Coturnix japonica: one gene and its partner. The protein of the gene in region 2 purifies or fractionates together with the protein of the main gene of each other region. This does not show direct contact. Links are inferred from orthologs where the notes say so. Each region holds a gene or a part of one and is shown on either strand. Other genes may lie near its edges.

The links.
Region 1: the proteins of MYOD1 (region 2) and KAT2B purify together in Homo sapiens (affinity purification with western blotting; 4 studies listed by BioGRID and IntAct, with this or other methods). This does not show direct contact. The link is inferred for Coturnix japonica from reciprocal best matches to the Homo sapiens genes MYOD1 and KAT2B.

What each region holds. Positions count from the first base shown.
Region 1 is NC_029517.1:32,846,859-32,858,261, reverse strand, and holds the start of KAT2B (histone acetyltransferase KAT2B), read right to left. Parts: upstream 7,732-11,403; coding exon 7,495-7,731; intron 1-7,494. UniProt on the Homo sapiens protein: Functions as a histone acetyltransferase (HAT) to promote transcriptional activation. Has significant histone acetyltransferase activity with core histones (H3 and H4), and also with nucleosome core particles.
Region 2 is NC_029520.1:16,193,034-16,204,604, reverse strand, and holds MYOD1 (myoblast determination protein 1 homolog), read right to left. Parts: upstream 5,821-11,571; 5' UTR 5,649-5,820; coding exon 5,088-5,648; intron 3,967-5,087; coding exon 3,888-3,966; intron 3,261-3,887; coding exon 3,007-3,260; 3' UTR 2,566-3,006; downstream 1-2,565. Other genes in the region: ferritin light chain-like, read right to left, coding at 10,809-11,315; uncharacterized protein LOC107314671, read left to right, coding at 8,888-8,945. UniProt on the Homo sapiens protein: Acts as a transcriptional activator that promotes transcription of muscle-specific target genes and plays a role in muscle differentiation. Together with MYF5 and MYOG, co-occupies muscle-specific gene promoter core region during myogenesis.

The DNA of each region.
Region 1 (11,403 bases), on a different chromosome or scaffold from region 2:
CTTAGACACAAACAGGCTATCCAGCAGGCAATGTGTTTATCACTACCTTATCAACAGCACTGGCAGCAAGAAATAATGCAACTAAAAATAAGCACATAACAGGCCAAGCAGGGTTAACCAAACATTGAAATAAGCAAACAGCAACAGTGCTAGTCAAAAAAGCTGTCCAGGGCAAGGCTTGGCCACATCATCAACAAAGCAAATGCCGAAGACCTTGACCCTGAAACCACGAAAATCTTTGAGGGCTGCTCCAAAAGTAATGTCTCCTATTTTATTATGTTGGTACGTACCAGAGGCAGATGGTGGTGGTGTGGAACCTTCCTGCCAATATGCCTTTACATTTTCACAGAATCACAGAATTATCAAGGTTGGAAAAGACCTAGAAGATCACCTAGTTCAATCATTACCAATACTTCCCAGCTAAATCATATTCATCAACACAACATCCAGACGTTTCTTGAACACTCCCATTTTGTTGCCATGTGACAGATGGCAGCAGAGGGGCAGTCTGACAAAGTGGTGTCTGATATGGAATTGCAAAGGTGTTGAATTGAATTCCTCCATGCGGAGAAAACAGAACCCACTAACCTTCACTGACACTTGCTGAGCATTTATGGAGATCAAAGAGTGGATGTGAGCACAATGAGGCAGTGGGTGGTGCATTTCAGCAGCAGCGACATCAACATGAAACACAAGCCAAGTTCTGAATGGCCACACAGATTCTTTATGACGGGGTCATTCAGGCTCTTGTTCATCACTGGCAAAAACACATAGCTAATGGTGGTGACTATGTTGAAAAAGTTTTTTGTAGATGGGAATTTGCTCTATTGAATACTGCTGTTGTGGACTTTGTAACTGCTGTAATTTACATAGAAATAAATAGGAGGCATTACTTTCAGAACAACCTATGTCGATATGGTCACTAACTGAAACAACAACAAGGACTTGCAGCTAAGAGGGATGGACATGAAGCGGGGAGGTGGAGTCTTGGGTAATCACATTGCAAATCAGTCAGCTAAGTCCAACCAGTTCCAGTTATCTGAAGAGCAGCTTTACAGGAAGAGATTTTTTTCTGTACATCCAAAAGTTCTTAGTAATTTTCATAGAAAGGTTCTTCTAACAGCATTCATATTCCCATTTGAAGATCTAATCAGAAGAAAATAATGTTTTTCTACTGTTCAGAGATATCTGTGCACTGGGCCGTAACGAGATCCTCATGAATTTGCAATGCCAAGAGCTCTGTGAGGAAAGTGTGCCAACTGCTGTGTGATATTTATGACTGAATCAACCTTAGTAGGAAAAATGGTGGTGTTAATACATTCAGCACTAACATGACATTTTTCAAAATGATTATGAATACATTTAATAGAATCTATTTTAGGAACCCATTTCATTTCCCTATTATATTTCCAAATCTCATCTCACCTAAGGAGGTAGTACCCAAAAGAAGCAGAAAAGACTGTGGCTTGACAGCACCTAAAACTGACAGCTTTGTAGACTGGTGGTAAAATGTTCCCCCACTCCAATTTCAGTATTCAGAAACCTGAGCACTGGGACAACTGCTGCCTGTGTTCTGCTGAGCACCACGTGATATTTTTACCATTCCTACTCCACAGCTGTTTACCCAACCAGACTCCTGGCCTCAGTTTCTGATGGCATTCAGGCACAGTAGAAGGGAAGAGTGGTGCTTCCAGCACCAGGGTGACTCAGAAACACACCTGCAAGTGCCCAGCAAAGCCACTTCCACATACTCCCCTTGCAAAGTGGACCTGCTGCATTGTCTGGATCCAGTGGATCTCCCAGCATACTGTGTGTATGCAAATGATACATTTAAAATATTGCATCAGGGAGATTTCAACATAAAACATGAGGAAATCTAGGGAAAATAAAATTGCTTCTTTTTTTAAGTCTCAGCAAATGAGACCTGGAATGATTTACAGTGAATTTCACATTATTTTTCTATGAGTAATAGGATTGGCAAGGAAATGAAGAAAGGCTGATGTTATTTTGTGGTAGAAGCCATCTCTTGCACTTTCTCAGGCGCTGAGTGAGTTCTATTTTTGTTTGTTATCCAAAACTACAGGACCTATTAATGTTTGATGACTAGAAAGAGAGTACAGTGATTGAATGGCACCTGAGAACCAAGGATTGCCCTGTTGTGAGGACTAGGAATGCAAGTGAGATGATTTGAAGCCACATTTTCAATCAGCACTTCAAGTTAGGCAAAAAGAAAGCCGAATAATCTATCCACATTTGCTTTGTGAAAGAGATAATGTTGCCGTGAGAGTTTTTTGCAGTTAAAACAAGAAGAGAAACTGAGAAGACTGTCAGAAAATGAGAATATTGCCAAAGAAAATTCAAGAGAGAGTTTTAAGTTCCCAAGCAGACCAACAAACAAACAAACAAAAAAGAATGAATATTAGTTTAGGGAAGCAAGATTTGATCCTTTCCATACAGACATTGAACAAACATTAAACTATGTAAATTACTGATATATTACAATGCTCATTATTAATTGCCTTAAACCATACCGCAGTGAAAACTGATATGCACAAAAAAAAAACAACCCACAAACCTTGGCACAAGCGTTTTGAGAAATTCTTTTCCAAGTGAAAGCAATTTTGCAGAAGCTCACCACACAATGTTTATGGCAAAGCCTAAAAATCTATAAACAGTGAGTAACTACACAAACTTTAGTGTCACACGATAATTAACAGCAAAGATGCAAACAAACAGATGTATGAATGGCGATAACAGCTCAGTTAAGCTGCCAAAAATAAATATCAACCCACGCACAGCAGAATAAAAACAGTGTGTTCAGTGGCAGATCTTTTTCAGCCCTTGGTAGCATTTCCTTGCCAGATACTTTGAAGCAGATGTTAATTTGTATTGTCTGAATTACTCCAGAGATCTTTCTCTAACAACTCAGGGTGTTGGTTGCTTCTTTTTTTTTATTTTTTTTTTTCCCTTTATTCTCTCTGTAAAACACCAGAATCATCATAAAAGTTCTGTTAACTAACAGGGAACGTAGCCCAGAAGGGTCCTCTTTAAAACTAAGCCTTCATTGTAGATGTTGACAGTGCAAGTATTTTGCACTGAATATTCAATGTGCATTCCTCAGTGACTTCAATTGCAGAGTGGTTTCAAGTCTTCCACTGTATTCTGTTAATTCAGTCCTTTCCCTGACTATCTTCAGCTTTTTAGTTTTCTTCTTTTTTTTTTTTTTTTTTTTTTTTTTTTTCACTCATCTGCTTTTCATTTGAAAATAATGTATGACTTCACCTCCACAAAAACTTCATTTAAGATCAAAAGAGTTAGGGAGTGAGAAGGGGGGAGTGGGGGAAGGAGGAAGGAAAAGAAGCATTTAAGCTGCACATCCAGTCCTCGGGTCTTGTTTTCTGGGACATCTGCCGAGCTCTGATAAAGACACTGCAGAAAGATGGGCACTTCTGCTTACTGAGGCCTACAAAGTCACCTGCATCGTCCTGCCAGGCCCAAGGATGACCACAGCATCTTAATTGGCATTTTTAAATACAATAACCACACACTCCCCCCAAATCCAGTGCGGAAATTACGTACATTTTGAACTGAAAAGTGATGTATTTTCAATCAATTTTTTAGATTCCTTCCATGTTAGACATAATGGGAAAAACTGAATAGTGCAATAGCTCAAGGCCATGAAAACAGCACCTCTGGACAAATTAAAGTTACCATTTCCTTTAAAATACCCAATATACCCATGTCAGGTCCAAAAGTCCAAAATGGATCTTGAAAGGTAACATTAATGTCATTCGAAAGAAGTGCCTTTGGAAGTTACAGCATTGCACTCCCCAGGCCCTGTTAGGAAGCTGTTATTATTTAATTATGATGGCTAAATGAGTGAGCACTGTTACAATACCTTATTGCCTAAAAAATCTATCCTCTTTTGGAGTTGTGAAACAGGCACAGGAAGGCAAGCTTCAAGCTAACTTAACTACAAAGTGAAAGACTTCAGCAGCCTTAAAACTGAATTTCACAGCAGCTGTTGCTCTGGGCTCTCTTCAGCTCCAAACCACGCAGCCTGCCCTGCCCAGTAACCAAAAAGCCAAGCTCACTCAGCACACTGCAGATACACAGAACTGTGGCTCTTGTTTCCAGCACGTACAATTGCTCCAGAAAAACTACTTTTCCTCCCAGCACAAAAGCCGAGCAGAAAAACCTAATGTAACAAGCTGCCTCCTACAACAATAATCTCAAATTGTTGCTGTAACAAAGAACACCACACAAACCACAACAAAAACCTGGATGAAATTTAAATGCCTATTTTTCCTACTCTGGTGTACAGCACCCAGCAACCAGGCAGTCAGATGCTGCTCACAGATCTACTCTATGCAACAGGAAAGCAGCCAACCCATTTGCCTTTAACAGTACAAAGTAAACAGTTTGATGATCAGCTCTAAGCACATTATTCCTCTGTAGATCAGTCCAGGTTTTTTATGTCACATTTTTTGTTCTGGTTTCTCTCACCTACAGGATAGATGTAGGCTACTGTATAAAGGTTTTTATTAAAAACAGGGATTCATTTCCCACCTGGTGACGTTAATGGTAGATCTCGTGTTTGATTTAAATGAAGATGCTTTAAGTCAGACTTTAGTAGTCACAAAACATATTCATCTCACTTCACAAACAATCATAAGGAAGGTTTGGGTTTCCTGTATAGTCTCCTCAGTTTCTCCAGAAAACAACAGCACAGAGATCCAGATCACACTTCAGACTCTGCCACTCCTGGGGCCTTGACCAAATCCCCTCACAGCCCTGCTCATGATGTTTCGGTTATTTAAAGCGCGGGGTCTTTATGGAGGTGTTATTCCCTGCTGCTTGTGCAAATGCCTTAAGTGATAGGGCTCTAATTACATTAACAAGCATCTAGGTATTACTGCAACATACGCTGTGAGAAATAACCAATTGCACAGAAAATCTAGCTTACTAAAATAGCACCTATTTCAACATATTTTTAAAGAAAAACTCCCAGTGGGACTGGAAAGAAAGTTATGTTTTCACAAACCAATAGTGTGAAAAAAAATAAAAAGACTTCCTCCTTCATCTTCATTAAACATATTGATGTGTGTAAGCGACACAGTGCCGCTTTTATGGAAAGTGCTGCAAACTCATGTATCCAATGCTGAATTTCACACCGGGCAAAACCAAAACGATGTATGCGGTCATTCATATGTGTGCAGATATAGTGACTGCCAAATGCAAAATGCTGCGCAAATACAGCTCTACTGTGTACTTCTAAAAGTCACGGATACTCTGCCAACTCCTTACATATCTCTTATTGTTCAGAATGCACATTCTTCCCACACAGACTCGGGCATTTAAAAGGCTGTTTTACACAGAAGAGTCTGTTCTTGCCCTTCTACCCCGAGCTTTTTATTTCACAGGAGAAAAGTCAAGCAGTGAAGCTCCATGGTGACCACTCTCCTGCCTCAATTCCTTAGCAGGAAAACAAAAACAAACCACTCAAACAAAAACAAGCAAACATGTATTTGCAGTCCCAGGACAGGGCAGCAGATCCCTAACCTCAGTTCTCACTCAGCTCAGCAGTACTTGCAGCCTTCTCTCCAGCATGGCACCTTTCCTCCCCCACCCCAGGCATTCTCCCAGCCACTGACATCTCTCCATCTTCTCACGCTGCTGCTCACCCCAGCAAACCCACGGTCTTTGCCATTCCCTGCATCTCTGGGGGTTAAGCTTGTAATACACTTTGTGTGCTGAAGTAGCAGCAATGTGGGGTGAATTTTACTTAGGCAAAGGTTGTTAACACTAAGGAAACTGTCACACATTTTCTGCCCTCCAACTTATACAGCTCTACATAGACCTGCAGATCAACATGGCTGCTACCACAGAAACCTCATTCAGAGATAGGCTGTTTGAGCTTTCACACGCACACAGAACAAGTGGAACAGGAGTTGCAACCCAGAGTAAGAAAAAGCTCAATGTTCCACTCTGTGCTGCTACAGACTCTTGTATGCCCAAGCAGTTTGGAGCCAGGTGTTCAGGAAGAAAAACAACACATCCTTCCACCCAGCTTCATCCTCTCCCTGTCCCACAGGAGAAAGCACTTGATGAGTTTACAAGGGTGTCTCATTGTTGATGTTCTGAGACCCGAAGGAATGTTGTCTGCCAGTACATTCCCGAAGGAAAGTTAGGTAGCAGAGGCCAGGTTTGCACTGGAATGCGCATAGGGAGTCACACTGAGTACTGTGCTGTGCCTGCTTACTGACAAGGGATGAGGATGAAGCCCAGGGTACTCCAGCCCCACACCCAGGTCCACCAGACAGCACCAAGTGGGCCTCCCTGCAGGACCCTTGGGATAATACAGACACCCCTGCAGGGCACGAGTAGGTGAGTGATCACTGTGCCACCAGCAGCCTGGGAGAGGTTTGGCAGGGCTGGCATCAGGCCCTGCCCTCCCTGAAACACCCACCTCTCCTCCAGCGCACAGGGGCTGCTGAGGCACAGAGTGCAGAGACACTGTTTCATCGCACTAGGAAAGCTTCAAACCACGTTCCCCCACCTTCCAAGAGAGGAGCAGGTTTCCAGACTGGCTGGTTTTAACTGACTGACACAGTGTAACCTCACATCATGCCGTGGACTCAACCAGGCCAAAGCAAAGACGCTTACACATTGGTGAACTGCAGAGACATTGAGGCACGTGGCTTTCTGAGCTTGCCCTCAAATGACAGTATTGCGACATGGCTCCAGCAGACAGCAAGCTCTTCACATCACCAAGCAGGGCAGCGGACCTGCACAGGGATGCTCCCTCGCGTCAGTGGGCATTTAGTTGGGATATTCACTTCATGCCTTCTTGGAAATCCCAAAGTAAGGGAACAGAAAGAACAGAAACACACTTTTCCAGCAAACTGCTCAATTATTTTCAGCACCGAGAGCATTACTGGAGTGTTTTGCATCAGCGCTGCCAACCGGAGCGTGTCAGCTCGCTGCGCATCCAGGAATCGCCCTGACAGCCCCGGCGCGGCCTGCGCTGAGCCCTGCACCGCACACGCACCGATACCGCTCCCGCTGTCACAGAGCCCCGGGGCAGCACAGCTCTAACCGCTCTCCGCACCCGCACAGAACAGGCAGGTCGCGGCCCCCCCGCGTCCATAAGCGGGCTGCAGGTGTAGGGACGGGCGTGTTACGGAGCACAGCGCAGGGCGGCAGCGCCCAACGCAGGGCGGTGTAGGAGGCCGGGGCAGGGCGCGGCGGAGGGCAGGGCCCCGTCGGGCGCTACGTGACGGCGGGGCCGCAACTTTCCCTTGGGCGGAGGCTGCACGCCGCCGTTCCCGAGGCTCCGGGGGCAGCGGGACCCGAGGCTCTGCCGGACCCGCCGTTTCCGCGGGGAGCGCCGGGCTAACAGCCGCGCTGCCTCCCGCCCGGCCCGGCACTGCCTTCCCCTCCCTCCGTCAATCCCCACCCTCCGTGGGCGGGTGGGCGCTCGCGGCCGGGTACCTTGCAGGCGGAGTAGACGCCCAGCTTCTCCAGCTTCTTGGCCCGCGGAGCTGCGCGCAGCTGAGCCTTCTTCCCGGCCGTGCGCGCCGAGCCAGGCCCCCCGGGGCTTTCGGCGGCGCTACGAGCCGGGCCCCCGGCGGCGGAGGCGGCGGCCACCCCCCCGGCTGCCGGGGAGCCCTGCTGAGGCCCGCCGCCTCCCGCCGCACCGGCCGCGGCCCCGCCGCCCGCCTCCGCCATGCCCGCGGCGCGGCGGCTGCCGCCCGCCCGTCCGGCCGGCCGGCGCGGTGCGCCCGGCCCTAGACCCTCCCCTTCGCCGCGCCGCCGCCGCCGGCTGCTCCCCGGGGGGGCGGGAGGAGGGCCCCGGCGCTCCGCGGGCGGCTCCTGTCCCGCCGGGCGGGGGGAGCCGGTGCCCGCCTCCCGCTGCTGAGAAGCGCGGAGTTGAGCGGTGGCGGGCGGCGGCCACAGGCGCCGAGTGTGGGCCCGACCCCAGGGGCTGAGGAGCCCGGCAAAGGGGCGGCAGCGCCGCTTCACCGGCGGAGCCCACGCGCCTCCCTTGCCCCTCGTAGGGCCACGGTTTGTTTGACTTCAGCGGTGCTTTTCCACGCTTTGCACTTTGCGGCTGCTTTTCAACGGGTTTGTAGGTGATTTCCAAGTCAGTCTATACATATCTGTAAGTTTATTTTAAGCGTAAAACTCAAAGATCCTCTGCTCCGTTCCCTGCATGGTCCAGGAACGTCTCGTTTTGGTCCCGGACCGAGTGTTGACAGCGGGTCATCCTATGTCTATTGCCTTTTAATTGAAAGCAACAATTAAGCAAGTGATCCCACAGCAGTAACTGCGCTGAGCGCGCAGGAGTCCCGAGGAAGTTACGCTCTGTCGCACGTATGTAAAATCGCGGTCGAGCCGTGAGAAACCGCAAATGGCACTAACACAGCGGGGCACCACGGCTTAAAAGGTCGGGATTGAGGCTGGGCTCTGGTGTGCGATCCGCAGCTCTTTGATGTGTCAACCTCGGGCTGCAATACCGAGAGGGAGGGGGATCCCGGTGCGTGTAAAACGTGCACTTGTAAAAAAGAAATAGCAGCTCCCGATTTCTGCACCTGCCCCGTTCCGTTCCCTGCCCGGCGTTAAAGCTGCCCCGGAGCCTGGCAGATGTGACAGCGACCCGTAAGATGGCTGCTGCCATCCCCGCTGCTTTAAGACGGTCTGTTAAGGTGGAGAAGCCGCTACGCTCGGAGGCGAAGGGAAACGCAGCCCCTGGCTGAGCAGATGATTAACGGGAATAAAAAGAATGAACCGAGTCGCTTCTGTTAAATCTGAGGATTCTTTGTTGTTACTGGAAGTGGTCGGATCGCTTTTAAAGAATGACAAACAGCCGCTGTATGATAACAACCACTGAAGAACGGTTTCCTCAGCCTCTCCGCTCGCGTTCTTTTATGTCGGCGACGTTTCCACTTCCCCCCCCCCCCCCGACTTGAAAATGAAACTATTACCGCGCAGTTTCACTTTCAGCTTTACCCCGCTCCGCTTTAGTGACGACCGAGCAGATCCTCCGAAACAATAATTGGCTCCGAGCGGCCGGGGGGGGCCGCTGAGGGACACGGGCTGCTGGGCTTGACGGGAGCTGCTGGAGCCGTTCCACGGTTCATAGCATTTATGTAACCCACTATCATTTGCACGCCCTTGTACAAATGAATTCCCCGTTTCAATTCTCAACATGCGTTTACTATTTTTGTGATGGGAGATTCCACCAACACGTGTTAGGCCCTTTAGATCTGCAGCTGCACAGGCAAGTGTTTGCAGGATCATTCCACAGGTGAATGAACTTATTCTTCTCACTCTTTTCAAGGTTCTTAAAAGCCCAGTAAGTTTTTACTTCCACTGAAACAAAACATTTCACAGTGTGTTTATGAGGGTCTATTGCAAAACCGCATTGCACAGCTGCATGATGATTAGTATAAAGGCAAAACTCAATTTTCCTACAGTTCCTCCTTGAAGCCTCAAGAGCACGTCTGCCTTACACCATAACTCTGCTTTTTACCTTCTGCTTGCCAGATAACCAGAGCGCTAAGTCTACCAGAACAGTAAGTCTACCAGACTGTGGCTACGGATACAGTTACTATAGTAACATTTATAAACACCAATGTCACTACAAATGCAGCGTTGCCCGCTATCATGATGAAGCAACATAAAAGAAAACACACTTAAACTGAAGATAGGTAAGTCCTCTTTATACATATGTATACACAGAGAGAGAGAGACATAAAGAACTGTGACATCTATTAAATCATTGTTTCCATCTAACTTGTGCTATTATGTTTTTTAAAACAAAACAAGCCCTAAGGATTTGCCTTAAACTGCTCCAGGGTCAGTTAAAATTTCAGCAAGAATGGCCAAAGGTATGAAGAAAAGATAATTTGCTGGCTAGAAACATAGGGTAGAGCATGGGCTGAGCTGCCTTGTAGTAGCTTCAGGAATAACAAGTCACACTACACTGGAAAAGCAGAAGAAATTGTGCTTTGACGTATGACAGTATACACGCCATTCTCAGTTTCATATATTTGAGTTTTTCTGTTGACTGAATTCACAAGCAAGTGCGTCTTTATTTCCCATTTATAACATACACATAGCTCAATCTGAGCACCACAGAATGGCTGCAGTGCTTATTTTCAATCAGTAAGTATGTAATACGAAGATATTAACTTAGAATCAAACTCAAAGCATTGTCTTAAAAATCCTTGCTACATCTTTCAGTTTCCATCCTTTGGGGCATTTCAGTGGGCTTGCTCAAGAGAAGCCAAGCTTGGAAGTAGCTCCCAACAAGGAGCAGTGGCAGCCAGGTGAGCCCAGCTGCCTCCTACTCAGCTTATGAGCTCAGGTGGGCAGCCCTGTGACTCTTGAAGATCTGATCATCTGCTCCACAGACAGCCAGGAGCTGGGCACTGTCCACACCAGATCCCACACTCTTCAGGTTCATTTCAGTCTGCTGTTGCCCCAGGGAAGCTCTGCTCACAGCTGAGGCTCCCATCCCTCATCACATCCACAGTATGCCTGGACTCACTGTGAACACCAGGCAAGCTTATATGCAGAAGTGCACACACTATTCTAGCAAAGGAGATGACTGTATTCCTAATGCCAGAACAGGAAAAATAATAACAATAATAATGAAGCTTAGGGTGTGCCTGATACCTGCTCATCTGGAGCTTTTGGGGCCTACCTAGGCCACGTAAATGACTCAACTAATAATAGCCTGATATATAGCAATCCGAGGAGCCTCCCTGCCCAGGGCCCAGCTCCATGAGCCCACCCACCGCAGCTCCCAGCCCAGGCAGAGCCCTGTGCCCAACCCACACCTCTCTCCCTCCCTCCCTTCTTGCTCATAATGGGACTCCTCCTGCTGTCCCACCTATTTTATTCATGAATTCAATGCATATGGAGAAAGGGGAAATCTTCCCCTTCCAGTGAATTGCTCAGAGTATATAAACCAATTGTGTTCTTTCATTAGCACATTCTTAGTGCACGAAGCAGCCTCCTCTTGGAGCAGGCATTCTGGGCTGCTATCGATATTTTATGAGTCACTGGAAGTAGCAACAGCACAACAGTTTCGTTCATTATAATGTCTCCAGCAGCTTGTCAACTTCCCATGGTGCTTACTTGCAACTTTAATAATGCCGATTACAAAACTTACCAGTAGGCCTTTGTTAAAGAGAACATCACACCCCAATTACTCAATTTTCTTTCTTTTTTTTTTTTTTTCAAGGAAAAGAAATAGAGAAAAAGAATGGAGAATATGTCAGTGCAACAACCGTGGCTGTTTGTGTTGCTAAAACTTCTTGACAGAGCTGAAGCACTTTGCTATTTTTATTCACTTCTTACCCAAGTGTACTCTTTGGGGCCACAGCCAGTTTT
Region 2 (11,571 bases):
AAATGTTGGGTCAGCCTTGTGCCCATTCCTCTGCTCTGCCTGTGTCCCATGTCACCACCGAAGCAAAGCTCTGAATCCAAATGATGTCCACCTTTGAAATGTTTCCATGTGGCAGGGCTGTGTCAGCAATGTGCCATCCCCTTGATGCATAGAGTAAGGCATTTATTTTAAATATACCACCTCAGAAATAGACAGGAAAAAATGCACACATTTTTCTTACTTAAGTTGAAAAATAAATACAGCTGTGATTTAAAGGTATGTTTATCAGCACTGATGCACCTTGGCCTTACTCCAGTGGATTTCTCTCACTGACATCAGTGGGGAAAAGATGGGCTCTGCACAGTAAATCTAGGAATATTTTTTTCTTCTTTATCCATCCATCTATTTTGGGATGTGCTAAATGCTTGCTCTCTGTTGTAACATTAACATCAGTATGTGGAAACTTGGGTTGCTAAAATAAATCAGTGAAATGCAATATACATGACTTCACATAGAACTGCATGTACATTGTTGAGCACAAGCACTCTGTGTCCACTGTGCCATGCCAGCTGGACCCAGGGTGCTTCCTATTGTGCCCCGTGGGGTCTCACAGTGAGGCAAGGGAGAGCTTTGTGTTAAGGGTCTTCTTAGTTGAGTCTTCTTAGCTCCTGATCCAGCAAAATGTTTTTTGATTGCCATTACTATGGCTGTACATTTGAAGTAATGACACTTCCACCTGCCTCAGAGCAGGGGGATGGCAAGGTCTGTAGTACTTCTCAAAAGCAGCTTTTGTGCATGGGCCTGATTGTTTGCTAGAGGCAATGGAATTATCACCTGTATGGGAAGCTTTGATTTGTGAGGATCTGACTGTGTTTCCTTAGTTTTTGTGAGTTATTGACACTGCCTCCAGTTAGACTAAAGTGGGACTTTTTTCTGGTCTTAGCAGTTGCTCCTGATTCATGCTTGTATGAATTATAACACCGAAATTCATTTAATTCTTAGTTTTGGGGGGGAAGGGGGTGGGGGTGGGGAATGAACGCCAATAAGGGGAATAAAAAAAGGAAAAGCTGAACATTTACAAGCTGGACTTTGTTTTCTGCCCACAGCAAAGCTGGACTTTGTTTTCTGCCCACAGCAAAGCCAACAGGAGACCCTTACAAAGCTGGATGTTAGCTAAGGTGCTGAGGGGGCAGTCCTGCCCCAGCCTCTATGACCAGCCAAGTTCAACATGCCTGCACAGCAGCCCTGTGTCCTCTGTGCCCTCATTCATCATCCACCGTGGTCACCACTGCACACCACGAGGGAGCCCATGAGTTGCTTCTCTCTTTGAGGAGCTGCTCCTCCTGTTGAAGAGGTACAAGCTGCACAAATTCCTTCAGTACTAATCACCTAAGGGAGAATACAGTGACTGATCTGTCATCAAATGTTTAGAGCTGATGATGGTATCTGTTGTTTATTTGTTTGACTGTTCTTTAAACAAGAACCACAGCAATGTGACAAGGAGCAGGTTGTTGTGTGTGGGCTCCAGCAACTGGCTGTTCTAGTCCAAATGTACACATACACCCTGATACTTTCTTATCAATGACAATCTGCTTAGAGCTTCATGTTTTTCAGTTTTGTGGCAAGCTTGCAAGGTTACATGTATACACTGAATGAAACATACCCCACCAGTTATTTTTAGAAAGGCTCTAAACAAGAAGCAAATCCCTGGAGCAGTGCTGCCAGAGATGCTTAAAGTTCAAATCCAAATTAAAACTGCCAATCTTGGGCTTAAATTCCAACCTGAACTTGAGGAAAACTCTGATCTGTACCTTGAACTTTGTGACAGAAAGCTACTTCTAAGTCTTTTCTAGTACCTGAGTGTATATGAATATGGTATAGGCACTTAAAATTACATCTTGAATGGAAAATCTGTATATTTGATTGGGAATGTAGTACCTGATCTTGCAAAATGTCATCGTAAGGCTTTAACTTATAATTTAATTTATAGTAGCTACAATGGAATCTCGAGAGTCTAATTTATTAGGACTCCCACTTCTATCACAGCTTTGTAAGCTCTAGTCATGTAATAGTGAACTTGGGGGAACAAGACAAATATGCTTAATTTACCTCACAGACATTCTTAGTGAAGACCACTGACACATAAGACTTGGTTCAGAACTCACTGGGATACCACAGGAAGAAAGTCGACCCCTTTTCAGCAATGCCTTTGCACAAAGTAACTGAATGTAGCGCAGCTGAAGCAAGCACTTGATTTCTTTGCTGAATCAGAGCCTGTATCTTCTTCCTGCCAAGGCAGCGATCTTAACACTGCTCCTAAATGCACCAGTAACTCTAGAGGCTCTAATGAAAGTCAAGATAATGCCACAGATTTTATAAATAAGGGTCTTTATTTAGAATACTGTTGAAAACATTCTTGGCAATCACATCGTATAAATATATAAAGTTAAAGTTTGGCACAACAAACCAAGCAACATTAAATATATATTTTTAAAATTTTTCCTATTTTTGTTTTGTTTTTAATTTTAGCTTTTGTTTCATTTTTTCCCTTTTTCTCTCCTTTTTTTTTTTTTTTTTTTTTTTTTTTTTTTTTTTTTTTTTTTTTTTTTGCAAAGCAACTCTTATTTACAATTATACAAAAAGTTTTATAAAAAATGGTCCACAACCTTATTTTGGCCAGAACAGGGGTAATAAGAAGAAGGATCTGTCATGCCACAGCTGTTGTAGATTTCTCTTCTCCTCCATATTCAAGAGCCAGGTTCCTATTCTCCAAAGCCCAGATTAAACATTGGCCATTTCCCCGTATATGCTTTTATCTTTAGACATATTAAATAACTTCAGTTTAACAACCAATAAATAACTAAGTGTATTTTGCAGTAATACAGGTTTGAGAAGTTATAGAAGGAATTTTGCATGATACTTTCAAACTGGAACAAGCCATGAAGTCCTTTCTGTTTTAGAAAGCAGGTCTTGGAGCATGGTTGAACGGAGCAATTTGTTCTCGGCGCAGTCCGGCTGGACCTGCCTTTATAGCACTTGGTAGATTGGATTGCTGCTGCTGCTGCTGTCCTGGGGAAGCGGGGTGCAGTTGGTGGGGGAAGGAATCTGGGCTCCACTGTCATTCAGGCTTGCTCCTTCCTGGGGGGAACAGGGACTCCCTTCAGCAACAGCTTCAGCTGGAGGCAGTATGGGACATGTGGAGTTGTCTGTGGAAATCCTCTCCACAATACTTGAAAGGCAGTCGAGGCTGGAAACAACAGAACTCTTCCCATGCTTTGGGTCTGAAAACAAAGGCAAATGTGATCCATTTACCCACTGTGTACTTATATCATAGGATGTAGTTCTTTCATAAAGAAATGAAAAGCCCACTAAGTGGCTGAAGTGCACATCTGAGAGCATGCAAAGAATCAGAGGAAATGGGTATGAGTGAAGGATGCCAGTTATCAGGAAATGGATTGCAATCTGTGAAACAGAGGAGAGACCCAAGTGAAACAGGCTGCTATTCAGGGAGGGTGGATCCAGGGCTCTACTTCAGTCCTCAGAAAAGGAATGGAAGACTGGAATTCCATCAGGCATCTCTCCAGTTTGGATCAATGATACCTGGTTAGAACAGGCTTCAGGCAAAATGGGGTTAAGACTAAAAATCAGCAGCAGAGAAGGATGTGTTCCTAGACACTCTATTTGTAAAATGGGAAATGCAGATATAACATATCCCCTGCACTTGCAAATACATTTACATGAAATCCAGTGCTTCTGCCAGCCTCAGCAGCTCACTGGCTGGACAGGCAGGCTCCTTCCCCAGCCTGGCTAAGTGACTGGGGATGGAGAAGGCCATGGGGAGGCTACGGCAATGGCTGACCCCATCCTCCGTGCTTCACATAGACATATTCTCAACAGTAGATACTCACCATTTGGTGATTCTGTGTAGTAGCTGCTGTCATAACTGTTTCTCCTGCGAGAGCTGCAAGGCGGCCCGCTGTACTCCATCTGGAAAGGAGAATAATCTGAGTGAGGCTGGAGGGCTGCCTTTTCCACAGGTCCAGGAACCATCTGATCTTGTATTTCAGTAGCTAATCTGTGCAATCGCTCTCAGCTGAAATGCTGTCAAGTTTGTGTTGTAGAATGAAGCAGACAGAATTAACTTGCCAAAAAAAAAAAAAAGGAATGGATTTACACCAGAATGTGTAAATCCATGCTTGTTCCAAAGGCAAATTACCACCATTGCTATGACAGAAGCTGTGGCTTTACCAGAGATGAGGTTTTCCAGCAAACTCATCAGTACTGCCCTACGTGTATGGTCAGTTTAGGAAAGGAAGCTCAGGAGAGGAATTCTTTTGATCTAACTTTGGAAGACTTTTCCAAACCTGAGTTCCTCTGAGAAAGCCGCTACTCTACCTTTGGATTTCCTGCAGTTTCCCTTCTTACTCTGGTTTTGTAAAGAAAGACCGCCAAATCCTGACCAATATATTTCTGTTCAGTATGTGAATCTACAATGAAAAGGCTGCATTTTGAGGAGCGGATCTTTCTGTAACTCTCTCCCACCTGCCAACTATTTCACAGTCCCAAGAACTCAGCTCAGTGATTATTATCCCCACTAGAAAAAAAAATGCAGAAGTGTCCTTGTGGTCCTGTTCTCGGCAACAGTCCTGCAGCCACCCTTGTCCCCTCCCCATAACCCAAGGCTCTAAGCCTGGACTCTTTTTCTTGCTGGTAAATGTCTGCAGAGGGGTCAAGTGAGAGGAGAGCTGGCCTTCTTAAGGGTCAAGGAAAACAACTCCTGTTACTTGGGCCATCCTCCTGTTATCCCGATGAATGATAGAAAGCAAACACTATGCTTGACCAGTTGCCCTGCACGTTTTCCCCTGCAATTTCCACACCCAAGGGGACCTGCCTCACTGCTGTCCTTTGAGGGACAGACAGCAGAGCATGAAATCAGAGGTGCCTGGAGGCCATTGTGTTTGCAGGCACACAGGGACTGCCTAACCTTCCTCCCAGGAATCTAACAGACTTCCCTTCTCTTCCCAGAGACCTGGCGTGTGGGGACCCTGCTTCCCTCTGCTGCTGAACTATGAGGAGGAAGGACCTCATCTCCTGCCCAGGGCACTCACCATGCCATCGGAGCAGTTGGAGCGAGGGCTGGAGGCATCTGACTCCCCGCTGTAGTGCTCCAGCACTGGGTAGTACGCATCCTCCTGCTCGCGCAGCAGGGCCTGCAGGCTCTCGATGTAGCGGATGGCGTTCCTCAGGATCTCCACCTTGGGCAGACGCTGGTTGGGGTTGGTGGAGGTACAGCGCTTGAGGGTCTCGAAGGCTTCATTGACCTTGCTGAGCCGCCGCCGTTCCCTCATGGTGGCGGCTTTGCGGCGGTCAGCATTGGTGGTTTTCCTCTTGCAGGCCTTGCATGCCCACAGCAGGCAGCGGCCGGCCTGATGGTGCCCACTGGGTGCCCGCACATGCTCCTCCTCGTGTGGGTGCCCGTGGTGGTGCCCGTGGTGGTGCGGGTGCTCCTCAGGCTTCAGCAGCCCACCCACGTGCACCAGCCGGGGGTCCAGGTCCTCGAAGAAGTGCATGTCCGATGTGTTGAAGCACGGGTCATCGTAGAAGTCGTCAGCGGCCGCGAAGGAGCAGAGGGAGCCCTCCGTCATTTCCATGGGGCCCAGTAAGTCCATGGGGGCGATCGGGAATGCGGAGCGGGGCGAGAGGGTGGTCGGGGGGCGCGGGGGGGTCCCGAGGGTGTCTGTGCAAGGCAGGCAGGGAGTGGGGTCCTCGCACCCTGTCCCAGGCGAGGCCACCGGCGCGGGTTGTAACTGCTGGCACCACCACCACCGCCGACCCCTCCCCAGCCGCACCGCCTCGGGAGCGCCGCTCGGGGCCGTATTTATGCCGGAGCCCCCGGCGGGCCGGGGCGGGGCGCGGCGGGGCGGGGAGGGGGCCGCGGCTAACGGAGCCCCCGGAGCCTCGGCCCCCTGCGGGGGGGAAGGGGGAGTTGCGCGCGGCGGCGCGGGGAGGGCCGAGCGGCCCTCGGGTGCCGGATCCCCGCTCGCCGGAGGGACGGCCGCGGCCGCACGGTAACGGCGGGGGCGTCCGCGACGGAGCCGGGAGCGGGGGACGGCGCGACGAGCCGGGGCGGCGGGGCGAGGACAGCGACGGGGTCGGGGCTGCGGCGCGGCGCGGCCGCCTGCAGGGGGGAGTAGCGGCCCGCGGCCGTCGGCGGAGCTCGGGGAAAGCGGAGGGAACGGGAGCGAACCGCCCCGTCGGAGCTGCGGGAAGAGGCTCCGGGCCCGACGGGCGGCTCGCGGAGCGCCGCGTCCTTCGCCCCGCAGCGACGCGCCGGGGCTGCTGCCGCGTGCTTTCTGACGGCGCTCGGGCGCGTGACGCCGCTCGGGAGCTGTTCTGTCAGAACCCCAGCGGAGCGCCCGCACCACGAGGTGTGAGGATGGGGACGGGTGCCGCCATCGACGGGTCGTGCCCCGGAGCTGCGAGGGGTCGGGCGGGGCTCGGGCACGGTTATCGGAGCTTGGCCTGAGGCACGGGGCACCGCGACTGCGGGAAACGCGCGGCTCCTGGGCTGAGTCGTGCGGCCGTGGTTCTGCTGTGACCCACCTGAGTTACAGTAAGTGACTCTTTGCACCTCGGCTCAGATGTGTACGTTTGCGATTCAGGTTCCCCTTTGAACTCGAGGCTCAGCTTACCTTAATTCCAAAGCCTTTGAAGAGATTGACATTACGTCGCGAGTGGCATTGTGCCGCACGTGTAACCACACTGCAGTCCAATTGCTTGTGCAATAAGAGTGCAATAAGCTTTCTTGGGCAGAAAGCTGTGGCAGAGTTGGGGATATGGAAGAGTTGTGTGGCTTTGGTAACATCTCTCAAGGCTGCTGGAATCTGGGTTTGGAATATCACTTGAGCTGCAAAGTTCAGGTCTTTCTCCAGTACTGAAGTACTGCAGCACTTCTGCTGTGTGATTTCATTAACTTTATGATTAAGGGATTAATGGACACTTTTAATCTCCTGTTCTGCAGTTATAAATGCTGGTGACATTCGGACTCCTTTAAAATCAAAGACAAAGCTCGCTCTGCAGCAAAGCTGAGAGCATCTCAGAAGGTGATGGAACATCAGTTGGGTCCATGGTCCCGACGCCTGTGGCAGCTCAGATGGGCTGTCACCACAGCGGATTCTTCTGTTGTTCTGTCATTCAGTTTTTTATTGAGTCTAGATAAAGGTAAGAATTGTTAGTCACATTCTGTCATTACCCCAAAGATTTATTTATTTATTTATTTAAGTAGATGTTTTGGGCTCTGTACAAGTTTGTTCTTTCACTGTATCCAGAGCAGCTATTGATCAGCCCTACACATGCAGAAGTGTATCTCCCAGCTGTTCTGAGGCAGAGCAGCAAGCTCATGGAAACACTCCACTGTTATCATAGAGGCTCTTTGATCTGGAAGCAGAGAACAAGAATGTTTGTTTTAACCTTTATAGAACAGCTAAAGTAAAAATAACTTGTATTCAAAACAATGTTTTGTATACTATAAGACAAAACAAGTAGAAATGAGAAACATTGCATGGTTTAACAGCTGTGCATTGGCTGTCGAGCATTGGTGCTGGCCTTGCTGACCCACTCAAAACAATGGAACTTTGCTCAGGTCATTGGTTTAATTAGTGGAAATGCTAATTTTGCTAATATTTACTTAAAGCTACAGCGTCATCTGCCACTGTGAGTGTGCATCTAGGTTGTATCTGACCCCAGGAAAAGGCATTTGAGGACTGGCACGCGCAGTGGTTAATTTGGGCAGAGTGGCAACAGATGGTGAGACTTGGACAGGCAATACTGGGAGTCTGCCAGTAATTGCCTATGAATGCTCGGAAGTGCATGAGCTCACCTAAGTGGAAAAGTCAGGAGAAAGCCATGACCAGCTGGTGAGTTCTGCTCAGAATTGTCTTGCAGTGAAGCTGCCCTTGAGCAGCTTCAACTTGCTTTAGCAGGGGGTTGGACTAGATCATCTCCAGGCCCTTCTGGCCTCTGATTCTGTGAGGATGCGTTCCTTGCAGCTGGCACCAAAACTCAAATTGTCTTTCTAGCATTTTGCCCAAGGATAGTTTTGTCCGTATAGATGTTATGGGCCAGAAACAAGTCTTTGCAAAGAATAGTATTGCAAGATGCTCTTCTCAATTTTGTGCGGCCAGAGAAGAGGAAGGATATGGCACTTGAAGAGACTTGAAGTGAATTCCTCACTCTGATTGCAGACAGCAGCTATCTCCCTTTCCATACAACCACAGGAATTTCTTATGGCAGCATTTAGAAATGCACCATTTTTGATTCCTGTTTCAAAGCCTCTGTTGCTGTGACTCATAATTTTAAGTAAAGAATAGGTCTCTTCAGAGCTTCCAGTTTGAATGCTATATTTACTGCAGCGATGTTTCTGCAACTGTTCTGGATAATTTGGGCTTTGCTTTGTAAGAACAGATACGGAGTACATGTATGACAGCATTCAGCAGTGGAAGAGTATCTGTACAGTTGCTTTAAATGCTGTTGACTTTATACCTGTTTGTTTCACACTGATCCTACATCTCATTTTGTCAGGGCATGGTTGAAATGAAGCTGAGAAGAGAGTTGCAGGTTGTACTTCCTGCACTGCGAAGCATGGAGAGGATCATCCTGTACACAGTGGATGGGTTCTGCTGACAGAGATCACAGACACACATGCCTCACAGCACAAGCGTCACGTGGACAAGAAAAGCTTTGGTTATCTACAGTAACTGATTTTTTCTTTTTCAGAGGATACACTGGGAAAACAGCTGATGGTGAGATTACCTAGAATTAATAGAACTGTCTCTTCAGGCAGAGTCCAGAAAGTATGTTGGAAGAGAGAGAATAAAGGCCTAAAATCTGAAAAAGTACAAAGATAAAGATGAGAAGAGTCTCTGAGAAGCACATATGGCAGTATTTCTGGGGAAAAGAAGCAGCAAGTAAGTCTTACATTGAAAAGTTTAAATGTTGGGCTCCTTGTTCTGTTTGAATTCATTTAAGGTCTTCAGTGCTTGAAACCAATTCCTGTATTGTAGGCTAGCAAATCTTAAAGAAGACTGTTGTATATCAAACATTGCCTGTACTAGCTATGTGGCACTAGCTAATAACCCAACTAGCAGTTTTTCTCCATTCATACTTAGTGAGCTATGTATTAATACTGAGAAGAACGGATTCCATTGCTCTTATTCATGTTGAGTTGCAGTCAGTGGAACTAATTGTTGAATAAGGTATGCTCAGCGTGAAGGTGGGTGTTGGAATCCGGCCCAGATGGAAATATCTGTTAAACTACTGCTGTATTTGAGAGCAGCCACCCCAAACAGACAAATCCAGCATGTTGCTAAAAGCTTTTCAAACCATTCTTGTGGCACAATGCAGTATTTTTGCTGGAGAATACAGGAGATGTTTTAAAGTAATTTTCCCCAACTAAAAGACAAAAAAAAAAAAAAAAAAAAGTTGAGTCATTGCACTAGAAAGATGGGGAAAGCATCAGTGCTGTAATCATCTGTCATGTTGCAACACTAACAGAAATTAAGTGCTCTAAACAGCTTTACAGAAATGGGTTATTAACTGCAGCGGTGTAAGGGAGTCACAAAGCACTTACTGAAAGTGTGTTATTGTGCTTCTTTGTCACCTTAATACAGTCTTCTGGCATTTATTTTCATTCTGTGGTCTACTGCTTTCATCTTTAAATTCATCTGTGCAACTTTCTCGATCACAGCTAAGTACTGGTGTCATTTCATAGACGCACACAAAATCTCTTGGAAAGTACTGTCACGCTTGTAATATAAAATGAGGAATACAGCATAAACGCAAAGTACCATTTTTTACTATGGAACTGAATTTATTTTCAAACATTATAGAAACACTGTCTGTAATGTTACATAAAAGTAAGAATCTTTCAAGGAAGCAAACCCCAATTGCATAAAAATGTGGTATATAACATGTAAAACCCAATGCACAACCTAGCTGCAGGCAGCTGAGCTAGCCAGCTGGTCTTCCTAGGTGATCCTTGGTAGCCAGTATAGAGAAAGAGAGGCACTCCTGTAGGAGGTGAATGGAAGGAATTTAGAATCACAGAATATCCAGGGTTGGTAAAGACCCACGAAGATCATTGAGTCCAACTCCTGACTCCACACAGGACAATATAAGAGCTAAACCACGTGCCTAAGAGCATTGGTCTTATTCCTGCCATTGAGGAAGTGTTTGCATCCTTCATCTTGGAGAAGTACACAAACAAAGAAACAGCTGGGTTGTAAGTGAATGAATTGGACTACTTATTTTAACTGCTACTATGATAGAAATAAGCAAATAATGCCTAGTTTCAAAGCAAGTCTTTTAAAAAATTCATTACATTGTATTAGTATACTGATATAAAATTTCTAATATAAAATATCTGATATTATAAAACTAAATCTTTGGGTTTTCTCCCATATATGTGCTTCTTTTTATTTAAGTTCTTTTTGTTTTTAATAAAAGTTGTATATATTGCTAAAATAATTTGCTTAAGCTAATCCTATAGTTTAAGACAGAAGAGGCCTAGATGCTTTTTGTTTCTAGGAAGAATTGCATAGATAAAAATGCATTGAATTCTGTCAGCTTTGGTAACTAGCGGCCTTACTGGCATTTAAAGAACACAATGGAATGGGCTGGATTTTGAGCTGTGGCTCTCATGAGGATGAAGGACAGAGTGTAAAGAGGGAGAAGTGATAAAGCATCATGTCTCCCAAATTCCAGTCTCCAGGCCAGCCTCCTCTGTACAGGTCTGCCTTCAGAGCTGGACCACAGTGATAAGAGCCACAGCATTAAAGTACCTCCCTCCCCTGTTTCATTTTTGCTCCTATCCCATCATTATTACACTGTGGCAACGTGGCAGTGCAGTGTATGGTTGCATATATTGGCCCTATGCTGTTCCCAAGCTGGGAAAATTCTTTCTGTGGTCGCTTCAGACCCTCTGAAGCTCCTGCACACTGCTGGAGAGGCGGACAGGGGCTGCACTGCTGACTAGAATCTGGCTCTATACTTGTTCTGAACTCTTTCTGCAACCGGTCCATAAAGTAATCCCCAAGACTATTTCTGCCATCTTGGGAACAATCAAGCCTGCGAGCATTGGTCAGGAGATCTCCCATCATCTTGATCTTCCGGATTTTGGGTTCGATAAACTGTTTCTTGATAGTGCTTGCGCTATGAGGGTCTGCGTTTTCAATGCTTAGGGCATAAAGCTCTTCAAAGTACCGTGTCAGAGTTTTCCACTGCACCATAGCTAGTTCCAGAGCTTTCATCAGACCGACAGCATAGTCACAGTTTGGTTTCTAGAAACAAAGACAGAATTACATTTATTCAGTTTATTCAGAAGAACAGCTCATCTGACCGCATTTACAATTTTCCTGCAACTTCCTCTAAAGAAATCACATTAGGATTTAAAACTCCCAGTCTGGAGCATTTCTTTTAGGATTTTATAACTCCTAAAAATTATACCTGGAAATCTAAGGGAGTGAATGCAGAGATCTGAAGTACCAAAACCATAATGCAAGAAATTAGAGTAACTACTGCTCATTGCAAATGCTT